Mus musculus: one gene and its partner. The protein of the gene in region 1 binds, or shares a complex with, the protein of each later gene. Links are inferred from orthologs where the notes say so. Each region holds a gene or a part of one and is shown on either strand. Other genes may lie near its edges. The genes, in order: Fzd4 and Ndp.

Region 1 (3,571 bases):
CCCAGAACGACCACAACCACATGTGCATGGAAGGACCAGGTGATGAAGAGGTTCCCTTGCCCCACAAGACTCCCATCCAGCCCGGGGAAGAGTGCCACTCCGTGGGAAGCAATTCTGATCAGTACATCTGGGTGAAGAGGAGCCTGAACTGTGTTCTCAAGTGTGGCTACGATGCTGGCTTGTACAGCCGCTCAGCTAAGGAGTTCACGGATATTTGGATGGCTGTGTGGGCCAGCCTCTGCTTCATCTCCACCACCTTCACCGTGCTGACCTTCCTGATTGATTCATCCAGGTTTTCTTACCCTGAGCGCCCCATCATATTTCTCAGTATGTGCTATAATATTTATAGCATTGCTTATATTGTTCGGCTGACTGTAGGCCGGGAAAGGATATCCTGTGATTTTGAAGAGGCGGCAGAGCCCGTTCTCATCCAAGAAGGACTTAAGAACACAGGATGTGCAATAATTTTCTTGCTGATGTACTTTTTTGGAATGGCCAGCTCCATTTGGTGGGTTATTCTGACACTCACTTGGTTTTTGGCAGCCGGACTCAAGTGGGGTCATGAAGCCATTGAAATGCACAGTTCTTATTTCCACATCGCAGCCTGGGCTATTCCCGCAGTGAAAACCATTGTCATCTTGATTATGAGACTAGTGGATGCCGATGAACTGACTGGCTTGTGCTATGTTGGGAACCAAAATCTAGATGCCCTCACTGGCTTTGTGGTGGCTCCTCTCTTTACGTATTTGGTGATTGGAACGCTGTTCATTGCGGCGGGTTTGGTGGCCTTATTCAAAATCCGGTCCAATCTTCAAAAAGACGGGACAAAGACAGACAAGTTGGAAAGGCTAATGGTCAAGATCGGGGTCTTCTCAGTACTGTACACGGTTCCTGCAACCTGTGTGATTGCCTGTTATTTCTATGAAATCTCAAACTGGGCACTCTTTCGATATTCTGCAGATGACTCAAACATGGCAGTTGAAATGTTGAAAATTTTTATGTCTTTGCTCGTGGGCATCACTTCAGGCATGTGGATTTGGTCTGCCAAAACTCTTCACACGTGGCAAAAGTGTTCTAACCGATTGGTGAATTCTGGGAAGGTAAAGAGAGAGAAGAGGGGGAATGGTTGGGTGAAGCCAGGAAAAGGCAACGAGACTGTGGTATAAGACTAGCCGGCTTCCTCGTTCCTCATTGTGAAGGAAGTGATGCAGGGAATCTCAGTTTGAACAAACTTAGAAACACTTCAGCCCACACACACCCACGTCAGCCCACCACCACTCACCCAACTCAGCATCAGAAGACCAATGGCTTCACTGCAGACTTTGGAATGGTCCAAAATGGAAAAGCCAGTTAGAGGTTTTCAAAGCTGTGAAAAATCAAAATGTTGATCACTTTAGCAGGTCACAGCTTGGAGTCCGTGGAGGTCCCGCCTAGATTCCTGAAGCCCAGGGTGATAGTGTTTGCTCCTACTGGGTGGGATTTCAACTGTGAGTTGATAACATGCAAGGAGAAAGATTAATTTTTAAAACCCTTTTAAATTTTAAATAGTAACTAGGTCTTGCAGATAGCAAAGTGATCTATAAACACTGGAAATGCTGGGTTGGGAGACGTGTTGCAGAGTTTTATAGTTTGGCTGGTCTAACATAAACATCTTCTGGCCTACACTGTCTGCTGTTTAGAACTCTGTAGCGCACTCCCAAGAGGTGGTGTCAAAATCCTTCAGTGCCTTTGTCGTAAAACAGAATTGTTTGAGCAAACAAAAGTACTGTACTAACACACGTAAGGTATCCAGTGGATTTCTCTCTCCTGAAATTTCAACATCCCTAATTCTAGGCAGCCCCTGTTTTCTTCACTTTAAACTAATGACTCAAAAAAAAAAAAGGTTATTTTTATAGGATTTTTTTTTTTTGCACTGCAGCATGCCTAATGAGAGGAAAAGGGAAGGTGATTCACTTTCTGACAATCACTTAATTCAGAGAAAAATGAGATTTGCTAAGTTGACTTACCTTACCGACCCTAGAGACCTATTGCATTAAGCAATGTTAAGCAATTGGGACTTAAAATATTTTAGTTTGTGTGATTGCATCTAGGCAGACGCCAGTCTGGAAGAACTGAAATGTTAAATTTCTTGGCAACTTTGCATTCACACAGATTAACTGTGTAATTTGTGTGTGTCAATTACAATTAAAAGCACATTCTTGGACCATGACATAGTATACTCAATTGACTTTAAAACTGTGGTCAACTTGCATTCTTAGTGTGATAGTGCCTTTCCCCCCTGTAGCATAAGAATGTTATCGGAGTTTGGTCTACTTGCCACAATGGAGACTTATTCAGCTTTGCAAAGGCAACTAAGGACAGCAGATCCAAATACGTGGTGCATAATTGTTCCTTAGTAATGGACAAAGGTTCTTATAAGATTTCACTGGAGGCAGTGTGGCCTGGAGTATTTATATGATGCCTAATGAACCTCCAGAATGCTGGCCAGAGGCTGGATTGGTTAGCAGGGGATATGGTGTAGACGGAGTGAAATGAGCTGCAAAGTCTAACAGCACGAGTCTTAATTGCCTTTGCTGGGGTATCCAAAGCCTTTAAAATTTATGCTTTAAGTCCCTCACAAGGGGGGTACCCGCTAGCAACCTATCAAAAGTTGAAGTTCTTTTAAAATTGTGACTGGCCTTTTTCTTAACCTGCCTTAGGCCTTTTAATCACCAGATCTCTGGGACAAAACATTGTACATGTCACAGGTTGCTCTCCTTGTATTTCATGCCTGTCTGCTTCAGCAACTTCAGTTATTTATTGATTCATGCTTTTAGTAAGAGAGCCCTTAATGTTTTGTCCAATCCTACTTTGTGGAGAAACATTTCATGGATTCCAAATCCCAAATAGGCAAATAGGTGTTCAAATTCTGGAAATATAAATTTTAAAAACTGGGTCTCTCTCTCTCTCTCTCTCTCTCTCTCTCTCTCTCTCTCTCTCTCTCTCTCAGTTTGAGCTTTGTTTCTGACTATATTTTCTCCCCACAGCTTTTGTTTTTGCAAGTTCTGTAGATATCTGATATCAAGATGCTATAGGCCTGTCGTGTGTTTGGAAATGAGAGGCTTGGGGCTGGTGAGATAGAGACCTCCGTGGACCTGGGTGGCCCCTGGTGATTTATGCAGCCTGAGTACCTAGACTGGACTAGGGCATAAGGCTCCAGGAGCAGGAGAACTGATCCATGGAAGGGCCAATTTAACTCCTGAATGAGCTGCCTATGAAAGGCGAAATGGACACGCCCTGCACTGCTTACAGACAGTTCCCATAGCTGTCCAGGGCCCTGGAGTGTGCACCCAAGGGCAGATTCTGCCCTTACTCACGCTCTGCTATGGTGTCTTGGGAGTTGTGCAGTGACTCTGGCACAGGAAAGGGATGAAAAGCAAGGCAGTAGTAGCTGACTAGCTTTGCTGTGCAGACTTTGTAATGCACTTCTCTTTGTAATGCTTCAGTGATTGTAGGTCCAAGACTGCAACCTCCAAAGAGAGAGCAGTAGGTGCTGAGCATGTATCAACAATAACCTTGGCAACCACAACCC
Region 2 (3,826 bases), on another chromosome or scaffold:
GGAGGGTGACAGAACGTAAAACTGGCCAAATGCAAGTTCATGGCCATAAAATACAGAAAGTCCCATTAAAAGTGCCCAGAAAATCTTTATCCATTATTTCTATTTTTCTAGAAAACATTTATAGAATATGAATGACTACTATAGATAGCTACGTCTGGATTCTATACAATAGTTTCTGTGTTCTTTATACATTCTTTCAATACGAGGAATCAGGCAGTGGAAAAACAAAGCCTCCAAGCATAACATTGCCCTTCTCAGAGCATCAGGAACCCTAATCTGTCTTTTCTTGTGGATTGTGAGTTTCCATCATTGTAGCATGAGGATGACAACACCTACATGGCCAATGTGTCGGTAATGATTACAATATATGGTGTAAAGTGACTGACACTGATTAGGTGTTGGGGCCAGTGTGCTTCATTCCCTGGGCCACGTGTGCCTTTCATGTAGTCAGGAGGCCAGACCCACTTGACAAATCTATGTCAAGAATATTAACTGATAGGGGAAGGGATGGTCATATGTCCAGAAAATAATGTTCTTGCTTATGATATTGAGGAAAAAATATTGGTAAATCTATAAAATTTGCCCTGACCTCTTCCTTCTGGACATAGGCTAACATTTCTCTCCCAATCTCTAAAGGAAAACAGGATCATCAGAGAGACTACCATTCTGAGTCTGGAAAAGTTAAGAACTATAGAATATTTCCAAATGGAAATAATTTTCTTCCTGAATACATACAGAAAATTTAATCCAGAAAGAGTCTGGTAGCTGAAGCTGTGCCAGACACATCTTTTTTTTTTTTGTGGCCAAGGAAGGAAGGTTAATAATTACAAGCAGCATTTACATAAAACCATTGCTACATTTGGGGTCATTTTGGATGTCTGAAAACAAATTGTTCCCATGAAATTAGAAACATTTCTTCTATCATCACAATCTTTGCCCTGTTATTTACTGTAGTGCTCTGGAAGAAGCAAAGGTGAATAACAATTGACTAAAATTCATTTCTAAAAGTCATGCTCAAACCTCATGACATTTAGTTAAGGACATTTCTTCCTTGACTCTTTCCCTCTGAGGTTAACATGCTAAGGTGGTCTTCCATCATTTTGTCCTATCTTCCCAGATTTTTTTTTAATTTATTTGGTTCTGGGTTTGGAACCTAGAACCTCACACATACTAGGCAAGTGCTCTCCACTTTCAATTTTTTATTTATTCTACTATTTTCTATAACCCTGCCTTTCATCACAATGGTGCTTTCTTTAAATTTGAATTCCCCCATCTCTGTCTGTCTGTCTGTCTGTCTATGTCTGTTTCTGTGTCTGTTTCCGTGTCCATGTATGTGTCTGTGTCCGTGTCTGTCTGTCTGTCTGTCGCTTTCTCTAAAGAAACATGATTATGAAGCACAGTTCAACAAAGGAAGAAATCATACATGAATTAAATACTAGATATCAGTGCTGTGGCATCTGCTTCTGAAGCAACATCTAAACAATTGTGGTTATAAAGATGCTTCTCTTATCTTTGTTGCTGTTGTTGTTGCAGTTGTTATTAGTGCTTTCTATGCTTCTGTGGTGCTAAAATAAACCTAAGCAAGATTGTCCCACTCCTACCCCTTGGTGGCTACTCCAGCTCAATTTCTCCATTTTCAAGAAGGAATTTCATCAGAATTTATCCTTGTCTAATGATTTCTCTTTGGTTTTGTCCCTCAACTATAAGTAAGATCCAGGACATTTTCTTGAAGGAAAAAAAAAAAAACTCCATTTCTTTTCCCATAGTCCTAGGTCTTATTAGAACAATGGTGAAATTGATTTAACTGAATTTTTGAAGCGTTCAAACTAAAGATCTTCCTTGGGCTACAACCACAGACATTATAGAAAATGTAAAAGCAGGCATGCTTTGAAATGGAGAGTGGAGAGATTGATTCCTATGACCTTAATTCTAGTGGTTGATAGAATTTTGTAAAATTCTTAACTATATTGCTAATTTTAAAAAGGTTTGACATATGAGAATGTTTAAATGGTTTTTGTTGTTTTAGTCTCAGGACTAAAGTGGAAATTGTTTGAGGTTGAACTAAACAAAGTCTTATTTACTGTGTGGACAAATTTAAGACATGTGACTGGGGCAATGATGGTCATGAGAACTCTCATTTAGGACCCATTCCATCTTCCATTGTGCCTCCCTTCTGGGTGGTCTATGTGGTAGCCACCCTTGGTGGTCCGTTAGTATGTTATTACTTTGCACACCTCTTCACAGTACCAAGTCACAGATGACCTGTGCAAGAAACACTCCACCCACTGCCAGTAAGTAGGAACTGCTAAACAAGATAAAATGAGAAGCGATCAAATTGCCATCTTTAGTTGTGAAGTCATTTTTAACATCAGTGTGACACAGGGAGGAAGGTTTAGACCACCCAGATGGTTCTGGGGTAGTTCAGAAAACTGTGTGAACAGCCTCCAAGAATATGCTCCATTGTCCAATCATACTCCACAAATTCCCCATTCTTTTTGTTGTTGATGGAAGTAAAGGGAATTATGACAATTGAAAGGCTCTGTGTCTTCTTCTTTTTGCATATGTGGTGTGTGCATGTTCCTGCACATGTGCACATGGTGCACAGATTGTGGAGGTCAGAGGTTGGTTAAGGATTTGGTTCTCTATTGCTCCCTTACTTTTTAAGACAGTCTCTTACTGAACTTGGAGCTCACTATTGGAGTCACTTGGGCTAGACTGACTAGTGAGCATGTTCCCATGGGTTCTCTTGTCTCTGCTTTCTTGGTCTTGGGATTAGAGATGTGTACCACCATGCCAGGGATCTAAACTGAGGTTTTCAATTTCCCAACTTTTCCTATTCCCAGCCCCTATTTTTCTTTATTAAAAAGGAACACTATCACTCATGAATTTCCCAACCAGTGGTGTAAGACACACCCACAACAGAATAAGCTCACACATGTTCCATTACAGACACAGAAGTGGAAAGCATAGTGAGAAAATTCTAAAGAAATATTCCCTTGTAAGTTCTGCAGGCCAGTCATAGAGCTCCAGTTTGGGCTCTGGTCGTAGCTCTCCATCCCCTGACAAGGAACTATGACTGCTCTTGTATTAATGAGGGAGAAGGGTATCCTCCAAAGGCTTTGGAGTGACCTTGATCTTACCTTTGAGCTACATTTGTACAGTGGGTGACTGATAGAATCGACATAATGGTGTCTCATGCAGCGTTGAGAGTCCATCAGAAATGAACTGTCTGTTTTGCTGTCTGTATCTCCCATTATGGCCAGCAGGGAGAGCATAGAAATGGATGCAGCTAGTACATGATTTCTCATTGTTGTAAAGGGAAACTCCTCCAGAAAAACAGCAGAGGGAGACAGAGGACAATAGATTGGAAATGCTGCCACCTCCTAGGATCCAGTCCCTTTCAAGGCCAGAGCAGGATAGGGCTGCCGCTTTCTGGTTGTCATTGTCCTTTGTATGCAGGAATTTCTCTTGCTTCTTTCACTTGCAACCGATCACAGCAGTATGTGCTGCACAGCTGGAATGAAATCAGAAATGATTTTACCCAGAAATATATACCAAGAAATATGGATGCAATACAAGAGATATGAAGTCAAACATTTCCATGCCATTTGGGGTGACGAATATTGGTTTCTGGAGCCTTACTGGCTTATGCTTTCATCCATTTCATGTCCCCTGACCTTTGTGTTTATGCTACATATTTATGACCATTTAGAAATGGACATGATGGTTGAGTGGAAACATATGTTCACTTTAATTGCTTGAGTCCCTGTGCCTAGGAGCAAGAATAGTTTGAGCCCATGGACAAGATTAAATATGTGGTTCTGGC

The links.
Region 2: the proteins of Fzd4 (region 1) and Ndp are in contact, whole or in part, in a crystal structure (PDB 5BQE), measured with the Homo sapiens proteins. The link is inferred for Mus musculus from reciprocal best matches to the Homo sapiens genes FZD4 and NDP. Residues at the interface, in NP_036325.2 of Homo sapiens: Ser51, Met52, Gln54, Asn55, Leu56, Gly57, Gln95, Phe96, Met105, Thr107, Lys109, Ile114, Asn152, His154, Met157, Cys158, Met159, Glu160, Gly161, Pro162; in NP_000257.1 of Homo sapiens: Asp33, Ser34, Pro36, Arg38, Met40, Arg41, His42, His43, Tyr44, Val45, Asp46, Lys58, Met59, Val60, Leu61, Lys102, Lys104, Leu106, Tyr122, Leu124, Ser125.

The regions. Positions count from the first base shown.
Region 1 is NC_000073.6:89,407,195-89,410,765, forward strand, and holds the end of Fzd4 (frizzled-4 precursor), read left to right. Parts: coding exon 1-1,166; 3' UTR 1,167-2,916; downstream 2,917-3,571. UniProt on the Homo sapiens protein: Receptor for Wnt proteins.
Region 2 is NC_000086.7:16,891,268-16,895,093, forward strand, and holds part of Ndp (norrin precursor), read right to left. Parts: intron 3,515-3,826; 5' UTR 3,309-3,514; coding exon 3,141-3,308; intron 1-3,140. UniProt on the Homo sapiens protein: Activates the canonical Wnt signaling pathway through FZD4 and LRP5 coreceptor.